Linked DNA regions of Oryzias latipes. The protein of the gene in region 6 interacts with the protein of the main gene of each other region in a pairwise test. Links are inferred from orthologs where the notes say so. Each region holds a gene or a part of one and is shown on either strand. Other genes may lie near its edges. The genes, in order: inha, tmem43, prpf31, rad51ap1, numb, siah1 and cathepsin K.

Evidence for each region.
Region 1: the proteins of siah1 (region 6) and inha interact in binary tests that used the Homo sapiens proteins (3 or more experiments, as listed by UniProt). The two-hybrid records come from large-scale screens. The link is inferred for Oryzias latipes from reciprocal best matches to the Homo sapiens genes SIAH1 and INHA.
Region 2: the proteins of siah1 (region 6) and tmem43 interact in binary tests that used the Homo sapiens proteins (3 or more experiments, as listed by UniProt). The two-hybrid records come from large-scale screens. The link is inferred for Oryzias latipes from reciprocal best matches to the Homo sapiens genes SIAH1 and TMEM43.
Region 3: the proteins of siah1 (region 6) and prpf31 interact in binary tests that used the Homo sapiens proteins (3 or more experiments, as listed by UniProt). The two-hybrid records come from large-scale screens. The link is inferred for Oryzias latipes from reciprocal best matches to the Homo sapiens genes SIAH1 and PRPF31.
Region 4: the proteins of siah1 (region 6) and rad51ap1 interact in binary tests that used the Homo sapiens proteins (3 or more experiments, as listed by UniProt). The two-hybrid records come from large-scale screens. The link is inferred for Oryzias latipes from reciprocal best matches to the Homo sapiens genes SIAH1 and RAD51AP1.
Region 5: the proteins of siah1 (region 6) and numb interact in a two-hybrid assay, tested with the Homo sapiens proteins (2 studies listed by BioGRID and IntAct). The link is inferred for Oryzias latipes from reciprocal best matches to the Homo sapiens genes SIAH1 and NUMB.
Region 7: the proteins of siah1 (region 6) and cathepsin K interact in a two-hybrid assay, tested with the Homo sapiens proteins (2 studies listed by BioGRID). The link is inferred for Oryzias latipes from reciprocal best matches to the Homo sapiens genes SIAH1 and CTSK.

Annotation. Positions count from the first base shown.
Region 1 is NC_019860.2:13,921,345-13,925,480, forward strand, and holds the start of inha (inhibin alpha chain), read left to right. Parts: upstream 1-1,336; 5' UTR 1,337-1,479; coding exon 1,480-1,792; intron 1,793-4,136. UniProt on the Homo sapiens protein: Inhibins and activins inhibit and activate, respectively, the secretion of follitropin by the pituitary gland.
Region 2 is NC_019863.2:1,702,881-1,707,094, forward strand, and holds the start of tmem43 (transmembrane protein 43), read right to left. Parts: upstream 2,801-4,214; 5' UTR 2,794-2,800; coding exon 2,668-2,793; intron 1,833-2,667; coding exon 1,686-1,832; intron 1,599-1,685; coding exon 1,464-1,598; intron 636-1,463; coding exon 541-635; intron 467-540; coding exon 417-466; intron 332-416; coding exon 262-331; intron 194-261; coding exon 123-193; intron 37-122; coding exon 1-36. UniProt on the Homo sapiens protein: May have an important role in maintaining nuclear envelope structure by organizing protein complexes at the inner nuclear membrane. Required for retaining emerin at the inner nuclear membrane.
Region 3 is NC_019874.2:19,364,284-19,368,353, reverse strand, and holds the start of prpf31 (U4/U6 small nuclear ribonucleoprotein Prp31), read left to right. Parts: upstream 1-1,270; 5' UTR 1,271-1,443; intron 1,444-1,712; coding exon 1,713-1,925; intron 1,926-2,005; coding exon 2,006-2,066; intron 2,067-2,156; coding exon 2,157-2,240; intron 2,241-2,334; coding exon 2,335-2,432; intron 2,433-2,629; coding exon 2,630-2,736; intron 2,737-2,869; coding exon 2,870-3,039; intron 3,040-3,134; coding exon 3,135-3,292; intron 3,293-3,389; coding exon 3,390-3,479; intron 3,480-3,554; coding exon 3,555-3,682; intron 3,683-4,070. UniProt on the Homo sapiens protein: Involved in pre-mRNA splicing as component of the spliceosome. Required for the assembly of the U4/U5/U6 tri-snRNP complex, one of the building blocks of the spliceosome.
Region 4 is NC_019881.2:17,661,300-17,665,594, forward strand, and holds the start of rad51ap1 (RAD51-associated protein 1), read right to left. Parts: upstream 2,801-4,295; 5' UTR 2,488-2,800; coding exon 2,471-2,487; intron 2,364-2,470; coding exon 2,317-2,363; intron 1,896-2,316; coding exon 1,772-1,895; intron 1,030-1,771; coding exon 929-1,029; intron 840-928; coding exon 750-839; intron 634-749; coding exon 514-633; intron 433-513; coding exon 256-432; intron 188-255; coding exon 65-187; intron 1-64. UniProt on the Homo sapiens protein: Structure-specific DNA-binding protein involved in DNA repair by promoting RAD51-mediated homologous recombination.
Region 5 is NC_019880.2:1,035,668-1,039,652, forward strand, and holds the start of numb (protein numb homolog), read left to right. Parts: upstream 1-1,185; 5' UTR 1,186-1,368; intron 1,369-1,753; exon of another isoform or gene 1,754-1,876; intron 1,877-3,985. UniProt on the Homo sapiens protein: Regulates clathrin-mediated receptor endocytosis. Plays a role in the process of neurogenesis.
Region 6 is NC_019864.2:25,286,456-25,290,611, forward strand, and holds the start of siah1 (E3 ubiquitin-protein ligase SIAH1), read right to left. Parts: upstream 2,801-4,156; 5' UTR 1,878-2,800; coding exon 1,760-1,877; intron 251-1,759; coding exon 194-250; intron 1-193. UniProt on the Homo sapiens protein: E3 ubiquitin-protein ligase that mediates ubiquitination and subsequent proteasomal degradation of target proteins.
Region 7 is NC_019874.2:26,964,180-26,967,679, forward strand, and holds part of cathepsin K, read left to right. Parts: intron 1-1,825; coding exon 1,826-1,948; intron 1,949-2,587; coding exon 2,588-2,740; intron 2,741-3,500. UniProt on the Homo sapiens protein: Thiol protease involved in osteoclastic bone resorption and may participate partially in the disorder of bone remodeling. Displays potent endoprotease activity against fibrinogen at acid pH. May play an important role in extracellular matrix degradation.

The DNA.
Region 1 (4,136 bases), on a different chromosome or scaffold from region 6:
ATATATATATATATATATATATATATATATATATATATATATATATACATACATATATATATATAAATATATACTGTATATAGAAGAGTAAAAATCTTTAAAATAAACAAAAGGTTGTTTTTTCTCAGTGAGGTCTGGTTTACCCCCACAATTTCTAAATTCTTCACCCATGTAAACCTAAAAAAAATAAATAAACATTAAAGCCACGAACGGCATTGTATGAGCCGCAGGCGCCACCTGCCTGGCTGGATTGAAATGTGACTTTTTAGGTTAAACATCCTCAGGAAGTCATATTTTCCTTGTCTTGTTGCCTCTTGCGTGAGTGTAAACGTGGCAACTCCTTTAATATTTTATTGAAGTAGAGTTTGTATGAATTTATGAACCCATTCTTAATTGTTTGTGAGCCACCAATATTAAATGTTTTGACACATTTGGCAAGAATCCGTCTTTGAGTCAAACCTTTCAAAATGAAGTGCCAGAACTTTAGTGAACTACAAGATGAATGCATGAATATTGTGTTTGTGATGGGTTTACAGTGTAAGGACAGAGTGAATTCTGTTGTTTCTGCCACAGTCATGAGCATGTACAATACTTTTTTTTTAACATTATAATTGAAAAAAACAGTGATTGACCTGAGAATCAGCTTTTTCTGTTGCAGCCACAGTTTTATGAATCAAGTGAATCTTGTTTGGATTCTTTTTATTTTGATGCAAACATGAACATTCTTGATGTCAAGCTATTTTGTCTGTGCTTGAAGGGGACAGCATCCTCTGGAGACTTTGAAGGAGCCCACAGGAACCCTGTCACACACAGTTACATCCACAAATGACACAACCAGGCTGAAAGTCTGCTTTGTAATAACGTCGTTTATGAGGGGAAACCTCATTGCTGTCCCCCGTGTTACTGAGAAGAACACAAGAAGAGTGTTCTATCCATGTCTATAAAATAAATATTCTCTGTAGGACAAATATGTTTTTTGTGTGTATCTTATCTGCTGTTACCTGCTGTTGGATGAATGGTGAAATATTCATTTCTTGAAATACTAAATCTGTCTCCAGAGGAGTCAGTGCCTCACCAGCCATCAACCTCACCAGACGTCACTGCAAATAGGATATAGACAAAATTAAAATTTGGTCAAAAACCTCATTTGTCCAAAAGAGTTGCACTACAATGAGACAAAATATGACCCCCCAAAAAACTGCAGCAAACATTACTTTTAGTTACCTTAGGTGAGCAAAAGCATTTCTAACAAAATGGGAGGAAAAAAAATTGCCACAAAGCTGGAAATGCTACATCCCATCAGTCAAGGCCAGTCTTTGTTATCTGTATTCTGAACCTATAACAAAATGCTTTTGCTCACAGGCTACACACAAACCCAGATAGCTGCTGCTCAGTCTAAACATATACGAGAGTAGAATCTCGTCGCACAGGAGGGTCTTTTTTTCCATTCTTAAATTTAGGATAAACTGGTTCACAGTCATGGTGTTGTGTGTCGTCGTCATTCTGGGTCCTCTTTGGATCCACGGTGTGGTTCAAGCCTGCAGCGGAGAGGAGTTACCTAAAGAGGTGGTGGTGTCCTGCTTCAGGGAACGGGTTCTGGAGAGTCTGGGGCTGGAGAAACCCCCCCAGACAAAACCGCGAGGCCTTCGTGGAAGCGGGGCAAACAGTGGGGCAAACTGGGAGACCTGGCACATGATCACGAGGGGTCCTGGGTCGAAGCGAGGACTGTTGGATCAGAATCAGCCAGTTCCAGAGGAGGAGACATCTGAAATGATTTTGCTGCCAATTTCAGGTGAGAATCATCAGTTATCATCTTTATAAATTAGATTTGAGCATTTTCATAAAAAGAAACACTTAAAAAAATCCTAAAATAAAAAAATAAAAAGTAGTGATTTGGTAAAAAATGTAAATTATGTAGAAAAAAAATGAAGCAGATTCCTCCTGTTCCACAGCTGACTCAGTAACAAATGTTAAATTAGGAAAAATAATGAAAATATATTTTTTTTATGATTTTCAAAAGTTTTACCTGCTAAGCCTTACTTGGCCACTAGAGGTCAGGCAAGAATACAACCAGAGATGAAACACCCATTTCAAAGAAACAAAATCATGGTTTGGGTGTTTTTAACATGTTCTTGTGGCATTTTTCGGACTTACAGTATATTAGAACAATTATACTTAAAATTTGCTTTGCAAGTTTTTTATTTTTTTGTTTTCAAATTGTTGTGAAACAGGAGAAAAATGCAGTTTAAAAAAAAAGTGTATCTGTGATAGAAAATACTTTGGGCCACAAGCTCCCTGCTTGAGAGTGAGTAAACAGAGAGCTCTCAGCAACATTGAAGGGAAGGGGGGCCGGGGTTTCTCCGTGGAAACACTCCCGTCCACAAGTCAAACTACTGCCGCTCTGCAGAAACTATGTCCTAGGCTAGAAAACAACAGGGGTTTCTGGATTTAAAGGACTTCTTGGAACGCCTTTAAACTAGTTTAAAAAATTGTCAGAGCTGGTTCTTAGGGAAAAAGTCAACATGAGAGGACCTATCAGGGCTCCAGACTAACTTTTTTCACTAGGAGCACTGTGGCCCCTAACTGAAAATTTTAGGGGCACAACCAGCAAATTTAGGGGCGCATACCGTAAATCAACATGCTAACCAAATCTACTAATTTCCACTGTATTACTAATAAATACTTTAATAATAGATGCAGAAATTACAATGTGCTGTTTCAAATGCAGTGTCACATTTTATTCTGGACTTTTGAAGATGCAACAACAGACTGACAGCACCATCGCTGTCATGACAGTACAAATAGTAAAGAAAACAGATGGAAATTTATCTTGGTGACACCAAATAGGTGCAGCCAAGATGCACAATAAGCGTGTTTGAGATCACCCAGGTGAACTCAACGCTGCGCAGATCACCTGGTGTGTGACATATATTTTTGTTTTTGCTCCAACATCAACTGTCAATCATCACAAAAATATCGCGAGAAAGGGGTGAGAGCAAGGGGCAAACCTACCCGGACACAGCTGGAAACTGAAGTGATTGAAAGCTGCCCTACAGACTACAAAACAATGCATTATGGGACATGTGTCCTGATGGTTTTTGTAGTTGAGTGATTAATTAAAATAATTTAAAATACCAATTCATTAAAAAAAAGGCTACATACATTACACAACATTAAAATTATCATAAAATATATAATAACACAGATCATACTAAGGGGGAGAAGAATTTTAAAACTAAATTGAATGTTAAGGACAACTCCAACTTCCTGCTGTCCCTCAGTCTTGCTGCAGATTCGCCTTCATCTCACAGCCCCCCCGCCTGGTCTCCCCAACGATCCAGGCGAGCTGCCGGTTCATCTCAAACACGTCTATCGTTGCATTTTCCCCACGTATTTTCAGTGTGTCTAAAACTAATGTTTTTGCTCGAGCGTGTTTAAAGTTCAAGCCCCATTAGCTGTCACGCATGTAGGTGTGGGACATTTATTCTCCTCAGCTGACCCAACTCCCGCGGGAGCGGCGTGCTGCCGTAACAGCCGTGCATAAACCGTTTGATGCGCCGCCGTAACCGTGAACAAAACCCAAACCTTCCTCCGGGTCTGTGTGACCCAGAGAAAAGTTCAGCAAGGACTGCGTGTATGTAGAAAATTACGAGCGAATTAATACGTTCTAAAGGAAAGTAGGGAACTCCTTCATGTGGTCTGGGGAGGGAGGGGGCTGTCAGGTTTCCTGCTTTCAAGCCCTGTCATTGTCACGCCCCCAAGAGCCAAATACCCCACTGTGATTGGTAGGTCAGCTATGCGCACGGCAATAAAAAAGTGTCATTCATTAAAACTGGCGGGCAGCAGTAACATTAAACTTTCATATTAAGGCGGGGGCCGCTAAATATCATCTTGGAGACCGCAAATAGGTACACTGGTACACTAGCCGCAGGTCGGAAGAACAAATCAATAGTTCGCTTGCTCATAGCTCAGACGCACATATCAGGTTGTGATGATATTTGTCTCCGTTTCCTTCCCACAGATGTTTACGCGCGCTCGATTATCTCTAGGCCCCTCCCCCTCCACGCATTTTAGCCACTTACAGTGGCTTTCCCTATTCTTCTCACACGCAGTGGCCGCCTCACTGACGAGCATCA
Region 2 (4,214 bases), on a different chromosome or scaffold from region 6:
TCAGAGTCTGGAACTTGTTGATTTGGTCCACCAAACCTGAGGTTGAGCCATGGAGAAAGAATTACATCTGAGTGCAGCGTCTGCACCACAGGTTGGATTGTTGGCTCAAAAACAACAACAACCTTTAGACAAAGTGAAAGGTCCAGCCTGGACTGCAGGAGCCACCACTGTCACACTCTCAACCGCCATGGCACTTCCATGAAAGGGACATGTCAAGTTACATCACACACACGTGGAGGTCTGGTCTTCATCATGGCATACCTGGGGTTTTGGTGACCTATTTCTTGATCAAAATTCCTGCTGTTGATCAGCTCCGACTTCCACTCAGTGTCTGGAGCAAAACAAAGAGAAGCACATCTTTCCGGGGCCAAAGCCAATCGCAGCCAAAGAGGAGAAATAAGGGGGGAGCCACTCACTGTAGGTGTAAGTGGTCTCTGTTTTGGATTCTCCGTTCTCCTGATAGTCTCTGAAAGTTCATTTGAAAAACTCTGACATGTTGGCAGATCCCTACATTCTTGAACTTGGTCCTGCAACACTGACCTGCTCTCCCTGTACTCCACCCACTGATACATCTCCACCTCCCTCTTCAGCTTCACCGCCTGCACCACCACCTTGTAGTTGGGGTCATGAAGAGCCTGCACACACAGAGATGCACATTAACACTGTAAGTCCCAGCGCTCTTTTCATTATGATTGTGCCGTTTTTACAGACAATCAAAAAAAAAAACTTTCATTCTTCAGGACAGTTTCTGCATAGCGGCAGGAGTTTATCAGAAATTTGCCTCTCAGTTGCAGGCAGGACGGTTGGCGCAGAGCAACCCCGCCCCCCTTTCCCCCGCCTGTTGTTGAGAGCAGGGAGAACTTATTTTTTTCATGATATTTTTTCTTTACTGCAAGTTCTAAACTGGCCAATCAGATGCTTCGATGAAAGTATGTGGAGCACAACAGGATGTCGCATGTCGAACCTTCACAAATTTTGATTGACAGATTCTCCTAAGCACGCTTTCAGTGATAGAAGTGGCTTTCCAACAAGCTCATCACTGAGCGGACAGCTTGACAAGCGTTGACTGAGACCGACTTGGCCCAATCACTGCTTACTGACCATCTCTGGCTCCAACGTGGTCACATCCGTAGTTCTAAAGAATTGACTTCATTTTGTTGGAGCAGGAAGAAAGTCATTTTTTCTGGCTGATGTCACACTCACTCAGCCCAGTTCTTCTATAGTCATTGGTAAAAACTCTGAATTTTGTCATTAAAGTCCCACCTTTTTTTACCTTAAATCCCCTTTGTATTAAAAAAAGGTTATTATTCAAATGCTATTACAGTAGTTTAGGACAGAAGCATAGAAATAAAGAGATATTTCATCATTTGTCAATGACACTGGATTAAGAATTTTCAAAATCAACATCAACGATCCAGAACAAAGGTAACTTCTGCACAGCAGCAGCGCTCATTGGGTTCTACCTGAAAGGTGTGGAGCTTTGCAGACAGGTGAACTAAACGCTGATTGTTCTGCAGTTCTAGGTCGGGGTGAGGCCCCAGAGACACCACCTGAGAGAAACCTTCATCCAGGGAGGATGCGGTCTGCAGAGCCCGACCCTGAAGAAACAGACGGAGAAACCCGACAGGTGACGATCCAGACCCGTGGCGGCTTCATCTGATGACTGACAGAGCCGTGCTCCTTACCTCGTTGGTGAAAAGAACATAGATCGAGAGAAAAAACAGTCCAATACCGAGGACTGTTCCTCCTGCAGTGTCGCCCAGTTTCTCCAGGAATCCAGGGTTGTGTTTGACAGTGACCCGCCTGTGTTGATCTGGCACTTTACCTGGATGCTAACACAACAACACCTGGATGTACACAAATGCTGGAGGAAGACACTGATTTCACAGTAATAAGTGTAAATGCATTCTTACAGTGGCCCAGAAGGGTCACAACACTTTAGATTTCGCACACCCAAATAACACACTATAATTTGTCACAACATTAAAAAAAAAAATCACTCACAACACAAAACAACAATTCACAACACTTTAATTCAGTGAGTTAAAGTGTTGTGAGTTATTATTTGGTGTTGTGAGTTAATTTTTTTTAGTGTTGTGACGAATTGTAGTGTTATTTTGTGTTGTGAAAGTGTTGTGCTGTGACCCTTCTGAGCCACCGTACATTCTAAATGAGGGAATGTACCAATGCATAATCTACAACATGAATAAACAAGAACTACAAAAAGTCTATCCTTAGCAAAAAGTACTACATTACAAGTGTATTTATTACTTTTACTTGAGTATAGGCTTGGCAAATATACTAGACCACGTATGTGTACCAGTGTAGGAAGTATGCTAATTGAATACTTCTATCTAAAGACCAAATTGAAACATTTTAAGTTTACTATAGTATCTGAAAAGCAGCCTTCAAGTATACTGCCTCTGTTTAACTTAAACATAGACTAGACTACTTTTTGCTAGGGGTAACTTCCTATAATACTCCCCAATCGCAGTTCATTCATTCTTAATCAACTGTGATGTCCGTGATAACTACAGCAAGAAGAACTAGTATTAAAGCAGACTAACTGGTTCAATCACAAAAGACAAACTCTTCTGTCCAGAACAGCATGTTTAAATATTGGTACTTGCTTAAAAAACACGCCAGAAATGTAATAAATTCACTTACAAACTGTGCAGAAGACATTTTTCCGGCTCGATTTACTCTTTTAACAACAGTTGAGTTGATGTTAGCAAACTGAAAGACTGTGGACGCGCAGGTTAGCTTTACCTTACAGAGTATCCCGACATGCATTTGGGGGGGCGGGGGCAAGATGGTTGTCAGTGGGAAGTTTGGGCGTGCCTTCGCAAACCTATTAAGACGACATATCAAGCATACCCCTCAAGGGGTTATGGGTAATGGCGTTTAGTGCACGACAGCACAGCGAACTCATGATTTCTTGTGCTTTTTAAAAGCATAAAATACTTCAGTAAAATGTAAAAGCCTTAAAAAGATATTTGATAAATACGTTTCTTCTGTCGTTAATGTTTCCATCCTATTATAGCAGCTCATAAGAAGCTTAAAACACCTGTGTGAAGATGCGTTCAAGGTTGGCTCAAAATTTAGGATTTCACTTTGTCCCTCGAATGTTGCGGGATTGTCTGGTCGGATTTCAGTGAACTTGACCTTTTGTTTTAGAAACCTCTCCTTCGTTTCACCTGGAGAGGTGGAGCTTTGTAAATAAATATATTTAGCTAAACCAGTCCTTCCATAATTATGATAAATATTATTATTAGTATTATTATTATTAGTATTATTATTAGTATTATTAAAGTTGAAAGGAGGGAGCATCACCTCCTTTGTCTTTTCTAAGGTCTGATTGCTTGCTGGTGTGTGATCAGAAAGTTACTTGACTGCTTAGAAATTGTTTACATGCTTTAAAGATTTGGGCTTTTCATCAAACAAAATGGTACTCTCTTTGTGCCTTTATAGAACCTGTTTTTCAGAGGAAGCAGGTCATGAACAACACTTGGTGTCACAGTGTCAATATATATCATGGAAAACTAAATGTCCATTCATTCATCTACCACTGAAGACGGACATGTGAAATGAAAAGCGTTAACTAAAGACAAATCCTTAACTCAGGACTCTGCAACCTGAGGTTTTGGAGCCACTCTGGGCTTTATTAACCCTTGAATAAAGATTAGGTTTGTGGTTTTGATCCAGTTCCTTTAGTTAATAAAATGTTGTCATTTTTAATTAAATATTTAAAGAGCCATGCCAGTGAAAACTGTTTTTGGTGTTTTTAACATGTTCATGTGGCATTTTTCTCATGATCAAGGACATACAGTGGTGGACAAAATTGTTGGTAGCCCTCAGTTAGAGAAAGAAAGTCCCTAATGCTCACTGAAATGACTTGAAACGTTCAAAAGTAACAAATTAAAATGTATTAAAAATCAAATAATCAAAATCAGCCATTACTTGAGTTGTTGATTAACAGAATTATTAAAAAAAAGAAAACTAATGAAATAGGGCTGGACATAGATGATGGTACCCATAACTTAATATTTTGTTGAACAACCTTTTGAGGCAATCACTGCAATGAAACAGTTTCTGTATTTGTCAATGAGCCTTCTGCACCTGTCCACAGGTATTCTGGCCCACTCCTCATGAGCAAACTGCTCCAGTTGTCTCAGGTTTGACGGGTGTCTTCTCCAAATGGCATGTTTCAGCTC
Region 3 (4,070 bases), on a different chromosome or scaffold from region 6:
GTCTTGTAATGTTTCCTTATTTTCATGTTTATATTATTAGCAGTCTTGTCATTCTTTATCTTGTTTAATGACCGTTTATGTAGCTTAGCATGACAGAACAGTTGCTCATCAGTAAATAAGACCATTTGCTTGTGTATTTGTTAATTTATTTCATTTTCTACTAATAGCCATCAATCATGCAGCTGAGGTCCAACTAGTCCATTTGTTTAGTCTGTTTAAATGTTGGTTTAAAATTGTATTGTTTAAAAACTGGGTTTCAAAGGGGAGGATGTACAATAAAAACTACAAAATGTGAGCCTCTTATCCAATACGGGTCATGTCCCAGTCATTGTTCATTCGTTCAAATACCTCACCAATTTGTTGCAAGGGCAGGGTCCTTTCTGAGTCCCTATATTGTGTCAATTAGAAGTAATATTTAAATATGTTCTACTGAAAGCAGAAGTCAGTTACAGAATAAAATGTATAAAATAGAACAGTTAATAAATATAAGTCTAATAAAGTGGGAAACCACAATTGGTCAAAGCATAAACGTCCATTGATAAAGAATTTGTGGCCCATTGTTTTGTGAATGAAATTTTGATTGTAAAGGTAATTGTCTTATTTCTATAAAGTTTTTGTGTGCTATGGTGAAGTATCATAATTTATTAAAATTGTTGTAAAAAAAAAAAAAAAAAAAAGTTAACCAAACTCTAGTTTCCTGAATGCAAGACTGGTACTTTGCTGCCATGTATGTATTATATTTTGTGTGTAAATATTTTAAAACGCAATTTAAATATAAAATGTAAAGTTTTTAAGTTCTTACTTTGTCCCATCACTTTTGAATACGTTTTTTTTAACAGTTTGTCACAGAAACTTACTAGTCATTTATTTAGTTATTTGTTGTTGTTTTTTTAACTTCTCTTCCTATTATGTACAGGTAGCTTTTAAGGGTCTAATAAATAATATAAAATAAATTAAGAATAGAAAAATATTTTTAAAACAATATTTTAAGAACTACAAATAAAAGAAGAGTTATAGTAAAGTCATTTTCGGAATACTAGAAAAAAACCTGTGTTTTTATTTTGTGGCCTGAAATGTAACTCCTTATTCGAATAAATATGTATTTAGTTGCGACCTACTACACATTTTTTAAGAGAAGGTAATTAAAGCAACCAAGTAAACTCATAAAGACCGAACATTCATTTTTAGAAAGAAGCCCGTATGTTATTTTCTCATCTCTTAAGGAAAGGGGATACTTACCCATAATCCCATGCGGAAATCGTGACGTATTTATTCTGCGACAAACCACCCGGATCGTGAGCTTTATGTTGTAAACAGGAGCAAGAAGCCGCACAAGTAGCATTACCTATATTGGCTTCTATTAGAACCCTTCCTGTCTAAAGTGACTTTTAAAAAAATATAAATATATTTTTGTTTTGTTTTACTTCATTTTGAAAGTGCGACGTAAGTTACTATTTTTCAGTGTTGAATGACGTTTGGTGAACGTTTGCTAACTTTAGCTAGCTAACACAGAATAGCAGACTGATATCAGTTTTTGTTTTTTTCAACGGGATGTTTATAAAAAATAACACTGATAGACTTTCGTTAGATCTACTTCCTTTTGAAAATAATTGCAATAAACACAAATTTAACAACTGCCCACACTTTTACTCTCGTTTAAGCTGAAAGATGCATTGTTAGAAGATGGATCATGAATTTTACTCTGATTGCAGATGTCATTGGCTGACGAGCTTCTGGCTGACCTGGAGGAAGCTGGAGATGAGGGGGAAGATGGGCTGTACCCAGAGGGGGAGGAAGGAGGGAGTGATGGAGAGGGGGCTTCAGGGAGGACAGAAAGACTGGAAGATATCCCCGAAGAGATGGAGGTGGACTACAGTAAAACTGACAGCATTACGTCTATCGCCAAGCTCCGCAATAGCAAACAGGTCTTTGTTTAGCTGACTCTCATAAAGAGTTCCTTTTTTTCACTACCTGAAGGCAGTCCCTTTTAACTGCTTGTTTTCAGTTTTCAGATATAATTGAAAAAATATCTGGATATATTGGAAAACAGCGCAAGAATTCAGATGGTGAGTGTTGAAAAAATGTGCATTTTAACAGAAAATGTTACTGATTTACTTCCATTTCTTTTTCTCCTGTTTACCTGTATTTTCTTTCAGTTTCAGGACCAGTTGAGGCTGACCCAGAATACAGGCTGATTGTTGCAGCCAACAATCTTACAGTTGAAATTGACAATGAGCTTAGTGAGTTGGACTTTTATTGTGCGACAAAACCTAATGAAGAAATTGGATTCTTTCAACTGAAAGTGTGAGGTCTGTGTTTCTCCTGTCTTTTCAGACATCATTCACAAGTTTACAAGGGACAAATACTCCAAGAGATTTCCAGAGCTTGAGTCTTTGGTTCCAGATTCTTTAGATTACATTCGCACAGTCAAGGTTTGTTGATCTTAAAAGATAAGTTTGGAGACGTTGAAGTTACCGGATATCAAATTTTTGATTTTGTTTTTCTTCTATTAAAAGAAAAGATTTGCTGAATGGTTTCCATTATTCTGCATAGGTTTGTTTTTTTCTTTTTGCATCTAACCTCTAAATCTTCCCCCTTTTTTTGTTGTAAATGTGTGCTTCGTATAAAGGAATTGGGAAACAACCTGGAGAAATGTAAAAACAATGAAACCCTGCAGCAAATTCTAACCAATGCCACCATTATGGTCGTCAGTGTCACTGCATCAACTACACAGGGGTAAGTTTAAGAATGTTGGTACTTGTGTCCTATTACAATAAACTTTTTTTTTTAACATTTCCATTATTATGTCTGTTGTTTATTTTATTTACATAGACACTCCCTTTATATATTTTATTGTTTTCCTCTTAAGGTCATTGCTAACGGAAGATGAGCTGAAGCAGCTTGAGGAGGCTTGTGACATGGCTCTGGAGCTCAACCAGTCAAAACACAGGATATATGAATATGTAGAGTCCAGAATGTCCTTTATAGCTCCAAACCTGTCAATCATTGTGGGAGCATCGACTGCAGCAAAGATCATGGGTGAGGAAGTGAAACTATCTAGAAAATATCAAGTTTTTTTATGCCCATACATTTTTTTTTCTTACTTTTGAATTTTTTTCCCTGTTTGGCTGAAGGCATTGCTGGAGGCCTAACAAACCTCTCAAAGATGCCAGCCTGCAACTTGATGCTGCTGGGAGCCCAAAGGAAAACTCTGTCAGGCTTCAGTAGCACATCGCTGCTTCCTCACACGGGCTACATCTACCACTGTGATGTTGTGCAGTCATTGCCTCCTGTCAGTACACCATATTCAAGAATAACAAGTACCTTTTCCACATCTAATGTTTGTTTGCCTTAGTTATCTCCTTTCCCCTTTTGTTCTCCCCCCTCAGGACCTTAGGAGGAAGGCAGCTCGTCTGGTGGCCGCGAAATGCACTCTGGCTTCTCGAGTAGACAGTTTCCACGAGAGTCCAGATGGAAAGGTAAACATCTCAAATTAAAGGAACATTCAGAAATATAATTTCTGTCTCTGTTATTCAACTCCCTTTGTAATGCAGGTTGGCTATGACCTAAAAGAAGAAATAGAGAGAAAGTTTGATAAATGGCAGGAACCTCCACCAGTGAAGCAGGTCAAACCACTGCCAGCCCCGCTGGACGGACAGAGAAAGAAGAGAGGAGGAAGGAGGTCAGTCACTTATGGTTATTAGTATTTGATAGAATTGCCTGTAAATTCATCAAAACCTCTGTTTGTATTATAAATATAGTCAATGGCTTCAAAACTATTTAAGGAATTTTATAATTCTCAAAAACTGCTCTTTTGCCAGAGTTCTTTTAAAAATATGCTGCAATGTAATTGTTGTTTTAAACATCTTTGATATAGAAATACTTTTGTCTAACAAAGAACTAACTAAATGGAGAAATACAATTATTTGGACAGCCCTACTCAGTTCATTTTTGTCCAATTAGTTTACTTTGAAGTATTTTGTAATATCTTAAACTGCAGTACAATCAATTAATCTGCATAATTGTGACAAATGTTGAATTTATCACAGATGTAATGTTTTAGTGAAAGA
Region 4 (4,295 bases), on a different chromosome or scaffold from region 6:
TAGCCTTCAATCTGATTACAGCAGTTTAAATAACAGAAAGAGTAAGTGCATTGATAAGCTGTACCTGGTGGGTTCCACTTGGGTACTTTCCCCGCTGCTGGGCTCAGAGAGGATGCAGGCTTTGTGGAAGGAGGTCTGGTGGGTGTCGGTTTGGACGTTGGAGGACTTTTCACCGGTTTGGAAGCAGCTAAAATGTTTTAAAAGGCTTAGTAACAAAAATCAAGAGGATGGAAAACGTCAGCCGTTGAAACAAACCTGCTGCTTCAGGCTTCGTCTTTGACGGTTGTTTGACTTTTTTAGAAGTGGGAGCTGGTTTGATTCTGTCTTTTGGGGAGACTTTGTCCTTCTTTTGGGTCTTTGTGGGTTTCTTGACTGTAAATTCTTCATCCTCACTCTCAGATGGCTCACTGAAATCTTCATCACTTTCTGGATCTGGAAAAGCAAAGAGCTGTTACACTTATGAAAACCAAGAGAACAGTTTTTTATGGAGCTTTGGAAGAAAAAAGTGCTAACCGGGTGTAAGTTTGGGTTGATAGTCGTCATCGTCATCTTTGCATTTTTTCACTTCAGCTGTTTTAGAAGAAGTCTTCTTTGAGGCGGATGATCTGATCTCTGACGAGATTGCGTCTAAGCCTGGGACCCACAAACGACAATAAAAACACAAAAAAATGAGTAAACTGAAAGAAAATGTCGATTAGACGAAGAAAAACATATTGATCGGGGATTTGGGAGGGGAGAACAATACTTACCCAAAACTGCTCCATCCACACTGCAGTTAGAAAAGCGCAAAGTAGTCGGATCCGTATTTTCATCCATGGGGATTTGAATCTTTCCATCTGCTGGAGAAATTTTTTTTTTTCCAGAAAGAATTTGTTACCACTCTCAGAGAAAAACAAATCAACTCAGCATTTTTCAAGACAAAACAAACCTTTAGGAGATGACTCCTTCAGCCCATCTGTGTTGTTGAGCAAGGACAGTGTGATGGCTGCCTCAAGGTCTCTGTCATAAAGTTTTTCATCCAGTGGTTTTCTGAGAATATTAAGTGTTAATTGGTTAAAAACTAAATTAGTTAAAATAATTTTTAACTTCTCAGGTGCCAAACCATTTTGTTGCTGCTCAGGGATAGGTACGGGATCATAGAGGGCCAGGGGCTCAAAGTCAGAAAAGGGCAGCAAAAAAACACATTTTTTTGTTGTTTAAACTATATGGAAATTAAGCAAAAAAAAAAAGTACTAATAGATGAATATTCAGCTATGTGACCTGTATGGGTAAAAGTGATACAATTGTCATCTTTTATTAAAATAAATTATTGTCAACATGACTTTATCGTAGACTTGAAAGACATCCAAGACAATAAAACACTGAGGGCTATTTATTTTGCCATTGTGCTGCAGACATAGTTGAAAAACAGATTGTAATACACAGATATACCATAACTTTCATCCCAAAATTCCCAGCGTATTTTTTTACACAACAAATGAAATATTTACACAACTGCATTTTATCATTTTCTCCTGATTCACAACAATTTAGATAAAGAAATACTTAGAAATGAAATTTTAAGCTTACTTTTCTTCATATTTGTCCTCCATCATCAGAAAAATGCCACAAGAACATGTAAAAAACACCAAAAAGTCCTTTTTCATCTGAGTGGGTCTTTAGGACTAATGTTTACTCAAGAGGTGGAGATAACTTGAGAGGCTCACAATAATCCAAAGATCCATAAGTGACAATAAAATCCCCCAAAACATCTAAATGTCCAACGGTGTACCTGATCTTTTCTTTCTGTGACGACTCAGAGACAACTTCCTGACTTGAAGACTTTCTCTGTTGTTGTTTCACTTCTTCCTTGGCTTTTTTGTGAGGTGGAGCCTTCACGGAGGCAAAATCTTCATCTGACACAACAAAGAAACAGGCTAATCAAAAGGGGTTACCTGGTAAACGCTGTAAAACTAAATGCAACTTTGGGTAATTAAAGTTGAATCGGTATAAAGGAGTAGGCTTTAAGCGTCTGGGTCCTTTATGTCTATCGTTCTCTAGTTCTTCCAAATACAGAATCTTTTGAATAACTATAGTATAGTTATCAGCGAATGCAGACATGTATCTTTAGTTTTTATAATGTTTGGACTAACTAAACCAAACATGGAAGGTGTTTTCACACAGAAGAGAAGCTAAGTTTGAAGTTAAGTCTTAAAACTTAAATTAAGAGAAAGACGTAGAGTAGCAACACAATTGTTGTTGTGAATCATTGAACATATGATATTAGACAAAAAATTTGAAAATAAAAGTTGGATGAACAAAACACAAATAACTCACCATCCTCAAAATCCTTGGCTTCACTATAATTCACAACCTTTGTCTTTCTGTAACAAATAAGCAAACGTAGAGAAATAACTTAAGAGCGTCTTTTCTATTCACATTTGACAAGTAATTAAAAAACGATAAACTAATGAAAATGTTTCTTGCTCACCTCGACGGCCGGTCCATCCCTTTATAGGATTTTTGACAAATTATACCCTTAGTTTATCCAACGATCAATAAGGACATTAACGGCGATTTAGCCGCTATTTTACCCTTCGATCACATGAAGCTTAAGCTAGCCGGTAATTTTGCAGCAAAGCTGATTTAAATCAAAAGCCTAACACCTAACGTACTGAGGAAAAAACTTTACTTCACTTCCTCATACGTTGATACATTAATGTATACTAGTTTTGTATAGCGACAATAAAATAAGCGACTTCTGGTTTTAAGCAGCCCGCCTGAACTGACCAGAAGTGACGTCACGCTGTGTTGATTAATTTGACGGTAGCGGAAGTTGATGAAAAAAGCGGAAGTTGATTCGAGTTTATTTTTTTTACGTTTTAGTTTAGTTGTTTTTAATAAAATACCACTAGTAAAAATGTTTTATTTAAATTTTTTTAGTAAACCCATTGTAAATAAATTAAAGAAAGAAAAAAATGCACAACATTGTTTTTATTTTGAGTGAAAAATGTATCGTATCTACTGTTTATGAAAGTAGATTAGTTTTCTTAATTTATGCCAGCAGTACAGATAATACATATATAAAAAATTAATAATTTATAGATGTAATTTCACCATAAAGCACCATATTTTCTCAATTTCTTAACGATATATTTTTATACATAAAATCAATATCACACTCTTCTAACAGGAATGGTTACAAATATTCAAAAATATTGATTGTTTTCAAATTTAAAACAATCAGTATTTGTGAATCTTTATATGTATTTATTTAAATAAAGCCCCTCACTGTTTGATCTTGTTAATGTATTTCACATTGTGTATTTGTTCTCCTGTTGTATACTCTTCAATAAAATTGAAAAAGAAAATTGCATTATTCTTTTAAGTCAACTTAAAAAAATTTGGGGAGGATTTTACAGAATTAGTGACATTAGGTGACAAAATTAAGGCTTTAAAATCATGAGCATAATTACTAAACAAGTGTGTCATAATGAACTAACATTAAATGGAATGTAATTCCTGTAAACACAATAAAATGATGTATATTTGCAGTATTTGAATAGGAAAAAAAATATTTTTATTTGTTATATTGATTTTTAAAATGGTTGCATACAATTGAAATGTGTGTTGTATACTATAATTGTATTTAATTGTATTTGAGGTGTATAATTCTTTTATATTTTTTATTTCCTTAAATATTTTTGCACATTTTAAATTTTCCTTTCTTTGCTCCCTTATGCCTGATCCCCAGAGTTGTAACAATTTAATTTCTTCACAGCAGGATGTAAAAAAAGTTTATTGTATCTTATTTTTTAATATAGATGAGAATATTTTCTGGGTAGCTTTGATTACATATAATAAAAAAGACTGTTGTTGGTGCTAAACGGACAGCTGTTTGTCAAGGGGTAAAGAATCCAACCATCCAACAGGTGGCAGTATAAACTAGATGATTCAGGACTTCTGATGTTCCAGTTCCTGGGTCTGATTGACACTAAATTGACACGTCCTCAACTGCCCAGTCGCCCACACACATGGGAAGAAGCAATCACAGTTCTGAAGAGAGGTCAAAACGAAACCTCCCCAGATTTGACTGTGGTTCTTCGAGAGAGCAGCCACTGTATCGAGGGTTGTCATTTTCCAGCTTGTGAGTGGGTGGTTGTCCGCTGTGGTTTGTCACACAGTGGCCCTGGAGCAGATGCTCAGGGCTGTGAAAGGCCATGTTTTTAGGCCCAGAGAGGGAAGGAAGACATGCAGCCGTGGGGCCAAAAGGTCCTGTGGTTGCACATTCCTAAACTCCTCCAGCTCTGCCTACA
Region 5 (3,985 bases), on a different chromosome or scaffold from region 6:
CTGCGAATGCTCAGGAGCTTGTTGCTGATGTTGCTCATGTTGACCACAGGGGGGCAAAATACTTCAACATTTCACCAGGAATGCAGCCCCAGGACCTGCCAGGCCTGTTATGTGCATAAAAAGATAGAAGAGATGATTAAGAGGGTTGGCTTTCAAAGGCGTAGAGACAGTGTTAGAGGTCAGCAGTCAGAGACACAAGACAGAAGAGAAACCATCATCATAACCGGCTTTGCCGGCTGAAGCTCTGTGTGTTTGCCTTCTGATAGGAGAAAATATGCTGCTCTGCAGCTTTGTACCCATTGGAGCTATGTCAGGAATGCTGATAAACTTCTGGCCAGCTAAAGAGGCCAGTGTGTCGCTATGGGGGTAGAGGGGCGTAGGCCTGCGTGGGGCGGCTGAAGATGGTCAAATGATCAACATGATGATGGTTCAGACACGAGCTGTGCAGGAACTGTGGGAAGTTCTGCTCAAAGAAATAAATCATCGAATCAGTCAGACGCTGAAATAACGGCAGAGTGGAACATGTGTCAAATAGCTGTGCTTTCATAGTTTATGCAAAGCAAATGATTACCTTTATTTGGTCAGAGAGGGTGAAACAGGATGACACATTGTGCATTTTCCCGTTCATTGATCAAACTGGCAGAATCAAGAGTGGTGCCTTTATAGTGTTTTGTTAAACCTGAAAACCCATAAATGTTTATTTTTAATGGTTATATTTTGCATTGTTTTCACAAAAAATAGACATGATAATCAATCAGAGACAAACGAGAAAAGTAATTAATTTATAGAAGAAAATAAATACAAAAGAAACAAAAAATTTGCTAATTAAAATGAGAAAAACATTAAATCGTCTTTAGCTTTTTATGTTTTCTTTAATTTAATTAGATAAAATAAATGAATTTAAATGTTTTAACGTTCTTTTGTACTTTTTACATTTTTTATTTTGATTTTGCTAAACAGCTTACTAAAAAGTATTAATTTATTGCACAGATTAAAATTGTTCCTTCCTTTTTTAAATTAAAAGTTAAAATGTTTTAAAAATAATTTATTTACTCTAAAATCATCCTTATCTTTTTTTTGTCTTTGTGCTAAATTTCTTATTTGTCGGCAACCCCTCAGAATTTGGCCCAGTGGCCATCGATCACCGTGGACCCGCACGCGCCGGCCTATGAGCGCGCGCGGAGGCGGTCCGTTGCCAAGGGCGAGGTTTGGTTGAATCCTCGCGCTGCAGCCATTCAGCGGCGGCGGTTGGCCCGGAGGGTCTCGGTGACGGTTATTGTGGAATTTGAATTATCCGGAACGGGACGGCTCGACGGTCACAGTCGGGGCTTTAACGGGGCCACGTCTGGATCACGGAGGTGATCACAGGTGAGCGGGAAAGAAGGGTTAGCAAAAGGGGCTAAAGTAGCACTAGCCCGGCTGATGCAGTGGTGTTAGCCCGGTTCTGTGGCTCTTAGCTCGGTCTGTAATCTCTCTAATGACGCGGTGAGCGAGCAGGAGTGTTCAAACCGTCTCCGGTCTAATCTGTTACCGGGAAGAACCGAAGAAAACGGAGCCCTTTCGACGTTTTTCCTCGTCCTCTGATCACCTGGTTAACTTCCAGGTACCTGGTTTAACTTTCAGAGGTAAACGGGTGAGGTCAGAGCGCACGCGAACTGTCACGACACGTTGTTACACACGGCCCACTCGTGTAATATCACTGTCACAAGTGCGCACGCGGGTGTGGAAGTGCGAAGAAGTTCGGATGTTGGCTGTGTCACGGCTCACGTCGAAGCCTCCGCGAGCTCCGAGCTCGCGCTCTCCGAGAACGAGCCGTGACTCATCGTCCGAACGCGCAGCTTTTTTTTCCAGGTGTGATAATGGGGCCCGAGATGAGGTAATGGTATCTCCGTGAGACCGTCCGGCTGCCGGGAGTACCCCCCCCCCCCCCACTGCATCCACATCGGTACTCAGATTACTTTCCACAGGAAAAGAGGCGCGTGATTGACGGCGCGAGCCTCATGACGGACATTGGGAAGCGGGAGTCTGTCGTCGTCCCGCGAGGTCACAACTTTGTTTATGTGACGGGGGGGTCACGGTAAACAGTGATCGGGGGGGGGGGGGGGGTATGCGGAAACACTGCTGCTTTGTTTGGGATTTAAGGGGAAAGTTAAGGAGAATTGTTAACGTTACCGGGAAGAAGGTAAAGTCTAGAGTTTACAGTTCTAATATTTGACCGCATCATGCTGCTTATTTATGGCACAGTCTGTCACGTGCCGAAGTTCATGCTTTTATTATATGATCATTTATTAATTTACTTAGCATCTGGTGTTTAAATCTTGCTTTTCACGAAATAATAATTTTAATACACTTCATTTTCACACTTTTAAACTGCTAGAACAGCCATAAAGTTCCCTTATTTGTTTAGCAAAATTCAGAAATTTGCCTACTTATTTTTTTATTGCTTCTTGATTAGTAAGAAAATGTCAGTTTTATATGTTTCTCCATAAATAGGATTTTGTAAAATGCCATGAAGGATCTCATTCATCCAGCTGATGTCTTAAAGTTCAGCTGGGACGTTTGGTTCGGATGACTCAACTCTTTTTTCTTAAACTTTTTATTTGTTGTCTGACTTTAGATTAAATAAATTGATGAAAAATATCAAATAGAATTGTAACAAATCCGAATTTCCTCTAATGGAATACTTTGGACGGTAAATTGATTTTTGCAGGACAGGATCTCCTTAGAAATTCAAAAGTACTGTAGTTATTTGGATTTCCAAATGTAAAAGGCTTCGTTTGTAAAGGGTTTGTTTCTTCGGGTGCTTGGAGCTGCCCTATTTTAGGTGTATGTTTGGGTTTGAACTGGTCTTTAGAAGAAATGACAGATGCAGACAGAAAGTGCTGCTGTGTGTTGTAAAACAGAAGACATTTTATTGCAGATGATGATGATAACTGAGAGACCAAAATGATCCACATTTTCTAAGCTCACATCCTGCTGCTCATAATGAGCATGAAGGAAATTGAATGAGTTGTTGTTTTCTTTGTCTGATAAAATGACCCTACAACAACAGGAGGCACATCATTACTAAACATTTACAAGCATTAATGCCGAGTCGCTGGCCTGAGTGAATCTCATCAGAGTGAAATCTGCTGCATTTCAAAATGTCAAAGCTTTATTTAAAAACACAAGGTCACAGTGAGGAGGTCCTCTGAAGAGGCAGGTTCACATTCGGAATCAATTCAGCTCCAGTGTTTCTAATAGGCTGAAAAATGGGGGCGGGGCTTCTCTTTCCACAAGGTTGTTAAAGTAACCCATGGTCATCCCCAAGAATTAGGGGAGGGGCATTGGCAGTTTCTCACTGAAGCGCCCCCCCTGTGAATATGTCAGCAGCAGGAGGAGAAGCCCAGAAGGCCCAGTCCTCCTCTGTGGGGTGCGGTTTAGTGGGAGACATGATGTTCTCATGTAGGCACAGAGACAAATGGGATGAGGGATGGTGGGGCCAGAGGGATGGACTGTCCCCGTTTCTCCAGCATCCTCTGAGTTAGCGCCAGAGGTGGAGGTGAAGCTCTTTGATCTCTTCTCCACAACCTTTTCTCTACACATGCTTCAAGTTGCGGTTCATGGGTTCCAAAACCCCTTATCACCTTTGCATGGGGGGGTCATTTTTGTCCAATTTTTCTTGTGATGGAGGACATGTATAGAAGAAGTTAAGATTACAAGATTGGATTTCTGAATATTTCTTTATTCAAATCGTCATGGATCAGGAGCAGATAAAAACCTGCTGTTTTTTTTCAAACAGCAGGTTTTTATCTGCTGTTTGCAGCCTACCACAGCAGCAGCTGTGGTAGGCGGGGCCAAAGTCTCCCAGCTCCGCCCCCTTCTGATTCATCCACCTGCAGACAAATACATCCATGAACCTCTTTGGCTACGTTCACACCGCAGGCTGAAACGACCCAATTCTGATTTTTTTGCCCCTATGCGACCTGTATCTGATCTTTTCATG
Region 6 (4,156 bases):
ACGGCGTGGGCCGGGCCCTGCAGCGGGACGGCTGATCAGCCCGACAGAAAGGTCTGAGCCCACACACACAAAACTACAGCAGACATGGGAAAACCAACAAAGCTGCCATCGATCCTGTAAATGTAAAGCAAATCCCCAACAGATCCACTCAGACACAGACAGACAGACAGATTGACAGACAAGACAGACTGACCTTCGTCCATAAGATTTCCAAATAAGGCTTCTGTCTGCTCCTGAAATGTTTGGACCTCTGAAAGAGAAAACAAAGGAAGTGCACATGAGAACCCGACAGGCTGGTTCTGAACGTTCTGCTTTGTTCTCCAGTCAGACACAGAAGTGGGCTCGGATTGTTGTGATGTTCCGGCAGACGTGAGGGCCGGATGGCGCCGAGGCGGTGTTTGATGGGCAGGACACAGAGCGTGCTCACTTTAGATTTCTGCTGTGTGGACGCTTTGCTGCAGAGCCACTCATTCATATTTCAGTAAGTCTGGTCCATTTCTGGACTAAAGGTTGACGAGTGAAACCCGTTTGTCTTCAGCTGAACAAAATCTACACAAAGCAAATTATTCCTGGACACGATTGCATCACATTTGATTTGAGGTTTCTGTTAAAACGACGTACAATGTCTCCTTCTGTGTGGAAACAGAACTCGCAAACACAGGAAGCTGCTTTTTGAAACTAAAAATTCATCTCCACATAAACCGTCTCGTCTACAAACATAGGCAGAAAACAGGGCTACGGTGTGGGAACAGGTAGACGGATAAGACCATCGATGGTTCGGGGCGTGAAGGTGAACACCAACGATGAAGGAAACCATAAACCATAAACATCTTCCTGTCTTTGTTCTGCCAATGGTTTGGTTGCAAACAGACCAAAAAGTCTGTTTCACCAACAGCTTCTGCCTCCATGAACCTCATGGAGGCTCAACAATCTTTAAACGCATCGCAAAAGAAAACCATTTCCCTTTTAGAAGCTGAAGAAATATAATCTAGAAATAGTTTCATTAATTAAGAGATTGGATATTTTTCTCAAAAGATTGGAAATTATTATTATTTTTAATTGATGTTATTTAAGAAACCAAGCAGAAACCTAAATACAATGTTGAGTAAATACAAATTGTACATTTTTTTGTATATATTGAATCCTTCAACTATGTGATGAATCTTTTGACAGAAAACAAGAACATCTTTTGTGCATCACAGAGCGAGAGGCGGAGCCTCAGAGATGGAGTCGTCCTACTTCCTGATTGGAAAAGAACTCAGGAAAATAACTAATATTTAATTTTAAAAGAAATGTTCTTTTGTGTCCCAAAATATATCATCATATACATGGATATATATATTTTTTACTATAAAAGGCTTAAGAAGAGCCTGGTATAGGCCCTTAAAGGACCAAAACATAAACACACAAAATGAATATTTAAAAAGCAAATTAGTTTTAATAAATGTTCAAAAGTGCTATTTGTGAAGAAAACATTCCCGTCGTTCCCTTTTCTCTTCTATGATAAGAAATTAAATATCCTGAATGACAAAACTAAACAGAGGAACATCAGGACAGGTGAAGGGGGATTCAACACAAACGTTAATCCACGTTAAAACAGTGCAACATAATGTACGCAGGGAAACGGTTAAAAGCATCTTCTGTGCTCGCCCACGTCACGCACAGCATCGGTGTGCCAACACGGCCCCCTGCACACAAAGTGCCAATTCAAGCCACCTTGGGCAGAAACATGGAGCTGGTGAGGATCGACGCGCTTCACCTTTAGTGTTGTGCACATTCCTGGTTGCTACGCATGAGAGCAGCCTGAACAGGGAGTTCCAGGGTGGAGCTTGTGGAGCTACACTTGTCTGCTTGGATTTCACTTGGACCACAGACATAGAGGTAAAGCATGTATGCAGCCCCTCTGTGCCACGCTGCTCAGGCCTTTTCCATGGAAACCACACACTGCTGCTGGAGCTCTACGCATTCCTCCAAATACTGGATCATATTTCCCCTCCTGCCACCCCCGCCCCCGCCCCCACCCCTCTCCCCTTGGAAAGTACAAGCTTCTGAGCGGCTGGAGTTCTGCAGCAGATCCAGAACGAGGGTTGTGTCCAAACAAACACCAGCAGATCCTTAACAGCGGGAAAACGTCAGAGTCCAGGGTGTTTGAGCGACTCCACTGCAGAAGCAACAGAAGGAGCCCGGACAGCAGCCAGGCAGGCTAAAGGGTTAATCAACTCGCCAGTCTGCACAGGAAACGGGAGGCAGTTTAGGAGAGTCATTAGAGCTTCACCAACACTGGGTAATTATCCAGTTTCTCCACTCAGGAACTATTTGACATTCCACGGGGCGGTTGGTTAGCAGGTATAGAAAGAGGAGTCAAAAAAAAGTGCAAGTTTGCAAAAGAAAAATCCTCAAAACAAGAGAGCCCCAGCTCAGAAACCTAACCTTGGCTCCCCGAGAGGAAATGAAAGAAGAAGAAAAAAATCCAGTGTGAAGTCTCCCCCTTCACTTTCTTCTCGGTTTGGATTTCAGTGATGTTCTTTGTCCTGGGGAGCGTGGTCGGTGTCAGCGCCACTGGCTGTGTTTGTCTGAAACACAGAGCTAAAGTCCGCATCCAGCGCGAGTCTTTATCTTTGTCTCTGCAGGCTCAGCCCTCACATGTCTCAGCTCAGCTCCAGCTGCATCTCCCTGCTGCTCCTGCAGCCTCGTGTCCTCTGAAAGCCTGCAGTTTGCCTTCTTTCTCCAGGCTGGACATTCTTCCTCCCTCTGCCCCCTCCCTCCGCCTCACTGTGGTTGTGCAAGTCTCAGATTTCAGCTGGTATAGCTGTAAGCTGCAGCACCAGCTGACCCCTCTGACTTCATACCTCCTTTCTCCTTTAGTGCAGCCCGTTTCTCCTCTGTCCACGTTTTAAATGTGAGCCAGAGAACACAGGGCTGCGTTCTCTGGCTCACATTTGCTCTTCAGCATAACTTACTTACACACTCTACAGCAGCGTCTCACCTTCTCAAAGTGCTCTTCCTGTTTTTGAGAAGCACTCTAGGTATGTGAAAAGCTCGCTCAGCGTTTACCGTTCGGAGCATCGATGCTGAAGATGCAGCACATCCCAGAGTCAACATCTGCTCACGAGAGGACAAAGAGGAGAAGCTTTTCTTTGTGCTTCATTTCCACATGGACCAAATCTGTGGAATTCCTTGCCCACCGTATGCTAAGCCGGAAGGATTTTTTCGCCCCCTCAGACTCAGTTATTTTCACAAATCTGATAAGAGATCAAACACGTCTGCAGCTGCATCAAAGACGGAGCGTGTCTGCTTTCAAAATCTCTGTCTGGATGTTCAGGCAGCAGTTTTTGGGAGGTCTGCAGTCAAACCTGCCAGTGGCTAGCAGACAGTGTTGTGAGAAAACAATTCTCCTGCTACATCTTAACATCTTGGCTTCAGTGCACATTAAAGTTTCCTTTATGCCAACGCAGAAACCCTGAATTCTGATTTTAAGTAATACTTTTAACAAGACTGCATTAGCTTAATCTAAAAAAGCTTTTTGAACGTGCCAACTCTTTTTACAAATTCAGCTCTTAAGCTAATATACAAAAAAAAAGAAGCACAAAAGGGACTAAATGTCATCGACACAGCAAGTTTTCATAAAGTTCCAGCAGGACCGGAGAACTCTGTAGAACATCAGCTGTTCCCTCGACCAGACCACTCATAGGAACAACCTGACTCCTTAGGTTGGGGGTCTCTTCTGGGCAAAGGGTCACTTGGTACCCAGACACAGAAAGAAAAAACAAATTTCCATTTTAGTCATTAGTGATTTTGAAAGCCATTTCATTTGGGAAAAACTACCAGATTCTCTCCGTGACACTTTATGCATGTAAAGTCGCTCGGTCACATGTCTTCCTACATGTGTGACCTTCCTAAAGAAGCCACTCAGGCGGTAAAACCAAAATAACCCCAAGATGACAAAAGAAACTCAAACCGAATTATTTGGACAATTTCTGCACAGTATAAGAATCAGAGAGATGACTTCAAAAATCAACAAGAAAGCTGCATTTAACAGATAATATCAGGAGTCTTAATTAAAATATGGATTTATTGGGACAGGTTGCTCTCACGCAGTGAGCCCTGTCTTATGTTACAAAGACACTGCTGATAAAATTGGACACAGCAGATTCCC
Region 7 (3,500 bases), on a different chromosome or scaffold from region 6:
CTATCTGGCAGCCCAGGGGAGCGTATTGAGATACTCAGAATTGAAGGTTTCTTGTGTCAGATGCAGAATATGGATTCAATTAAAGAAAAAGATCAGACCAGATCAGTGGGAAAGAGTTTGTGGAATGACTTTTTGAAATGTTCTTTTTTCTGATTACATCAATCAGAGCTGAACTGAAGGTTATTAAAAAAAAAACAAATGCTCACAGCTTTTTTAGAACAACAGTAACTCCAGGATAAAAGAGGCACACAGGAAATTATAGCAACCAACCAAACAAACAAAAATCTGAGTTCAGAACTGGTTGATCTACTTCTTTAGATTTTTCTCCATCTGTTCAATTTCCTCCAAGGTACAAAATAAAGCAGAACAAACACAAATAACCCTTAGTACGGCTCATTGTTTACCAGAAACACAGAGGAGTCGATTTCCATGCAAGCTCTGCTTAAAAATTCTTTGTAATCATCGTTTCATTGTGTGGAAACCCTGAGGGAAATTTGCAACTGCCCTATTTCTCTGATTTGAATGTTAACTCGTTTTGATGATGTTTAATGAAGCAGGTGTCAGAAATTTCCATCAAAGGATGCCTCCTTTCCTCTCTAACTGACCTTAAACGTCCTCTTTTTGGGTCTTCCTGATCCTAAAATGTTCTGTCTGCTGTGAAAAATGCTTCTCTTTAAGTTCTGAGCAAACTGAAGGGAGTTTGGTTTGCAAACTGCAGATTTCGCACAGGAGTGCTTGCTAAAGCATCCGCCAGATTTTTCTGCTACTAACCTCCAGCTAGAGGTCAGCGCTCCGCAGCTGTTTTTGTGTGTCAGACGTGCACGTGGCTACTTTTTTTTAAGACTTACTAAGCTCTTTGTAGCTTCATTTGCATCTTTGTTTCTATTCCCGCAGACAGGCATTGTTGTTGTTTTTTATTCAGGTTTTAACCAACGTTCCTACAACATCTTCTCATAATTTTCCCCTTTCAATGATCCATGACAGTAATAGAACCAAAATCGTCCTGCATCATTTGCATTTTCCATTGCTGGGAATATAATGAGTGAAATTAGGGTTATACTCCTAGTTAAAAGAGCCTAATCAGAGCCCTGAGTTTCCCCGAGTTAGCAACCCAGCCCTTTGGGTGCATCCTGTTCTCAAGCGAGACATGAATCTAAATTTGGGAGTGAGACATCAGTGAAGAAGTCTGGTGAATGGAGGAGAAATTATACTCTTATTTCGATATGAGCCTTCTGAAAAGATTGCTTTGCTTCCTTCAAATTGGCCTAATTAATTAAATTAGCTATTATACTGATAACAGTTTTATTTTTTCTAATTATAATGTATGAAGTTTATTCAGATGATTCCTGACAGATGTTCATGCACAGGATGTAAGTAATGTTATAGATCTTTGACTAAATAATAACAAATTATCGCGATGAAATAACTTTTTTGGAACTTAAACAAAGTTTATTTGGGTCAAAATCATAAAAGAGGGAGCTTAACCATATGTGGATCTGACCTATAAGTCCTGTGATCACTTACATTAATGTAGCAGGCAGGCATGTGGCAGTACAAAAAACACTTGTATATTTGGAAAATGTAGATTGGAGGAAAAACTGTTGGCAACATCTGTCAAAATCCAGTTGAGCAGCTTTAAATATGCAATGAGAGTTTTCAGTTTACAGGAAAAAAGGTTGCATTATTAATTAGCAGGACATGAATTATTAAATTATTACAGCAACAAAAAATCAATAATGAAATATAAGATTATCTTTTAAAGAGTGAAGGATAAGCTCCGGTTTGGTTTCAGAGGGGAAGATTTGACACCTTTTGTTTGCCTCAGGAGGAAGAGGGGATCCGCAGGGCCATTTGGGAGAAGAACCTGCGCATGATTGAAGCTCACAACCAGGAGGCGGCTCTGGGCATGCACACCTACACGCTGGGAATGAACCAGTTCGGAGACATGGTGACAATCCTCATCTCCTCTTTAGATAAAGTGGCTGACTGAGCCTCGGTTCATTTTTATCCAACTAACAAATGGAATCATGTGTGGCTGGTTACTTTCTTGAAGAAATGTTTTTTGGTCAAATCTTTAAAAAAAAGCCCCAGAAAAGCAGTTCCTGTACACGTGCACTGAGTTGCATTTCTGATGTTCAGCTTGTTTAAATCATCCGCCGCTGCACATGCGCTGGCTGTTTTAACATGAAGATCAAAACATGCTGCAAATGAAGCAGCGAGTCAAAACATGCAGCGCTTCATAATGAGAGTAAATGTACATCCACTTTCTGGTTAAAGGGTGGATTCATCTTTCTGGAAACAGGTTCTAAATTTAAATGACGAAAACATTTTTTTTTAAAGGAAGTCATTAGAATGTTGTTCCTTGTTGGTTTTCTATTTCAGACCCTCGCAGAAAAATGAATTTTCTGTTTGTTGCATTTACCTTTTTTTCACATTTTATTGTTTTTCACATAGCAAAAAAGTAAAACTTTTACCTAATTTTCGAAATGTTTTGTTTGATCTTTACTTATTTTTTTCAAACCAACTGCTTTGCCATAAATTTTAAAGGCATCATGGTTACGAGTGTAACTTGCCCCTCTGCTCACAGACCCAGGAAGAGGTGGTGGAGAGGATGACCGGTCTGCAGATGCCGTTGAACCCTGAGCCCAGAGTTCCCATGGAAACGGATGGCAGCCTAATCAAACTTCCCAAATCTGTCGACTACCGCAAGAAGGGCATGGTGACTTCTGTGAAGAACCAGGTCTGAGCACAAACCCAGACGTCCTTGTTTCTGTCTGCTCTGTTTTTTGTTTTGTTTTTAACGCTAGCACAGAAACCACCAGAGTTTGGATGCAGATTCTGGTTGGGAAAATGCTTCTTGTTAAAACAAGATGCTGTTGTGTCTGTCAGTTTGTGTCCGGGAAATTGAAAGTAGTAACAAGATGTTTGGAAGCTTAAAGAGACTAAATGTATTTCTTTATTTGATCAAGAAAATAAATCAGTTTTCATACAGAAGCTGCCCGTAACTGCTTGAACCAAAGCTTAAAAATGACACAACTGTCAAAGCAAATTGACAATAACAAATGTTGTTGTTTTTTACTATGTTTGGCTCAAAGTCTAAATCTAACCTAATGATTATTATGATCCAATGTGAGCAGACAACCCTGAAAGTTCTATTTTAAAGGATAGTTAAATAAAAGGTGGACCATAAAAGGGGAAACTTTTTGATCCTCATAAATGTACAACTTTAAACTCCCGTCAAGAAGTTTCTTCTATTTTAAATTTCATCTTATACAATGTTAACTTTCTCATGTTTCTTTCTATGACAGACAGAGTTCTCTAATAATTCTAGATCGATCTGCAACTACTTATTCAACCAAGAAGCTTAAAGTTACCCAAAGCTGTAAACAGGCTAACTTAGAAAATAAACAAAACAAATAGATTTTCAGCTCTATTAAGACAAATGAAAGTTGTTTTTAAAAATGTGAATACGTAACAGATTTTTACATCAGAAACATCGC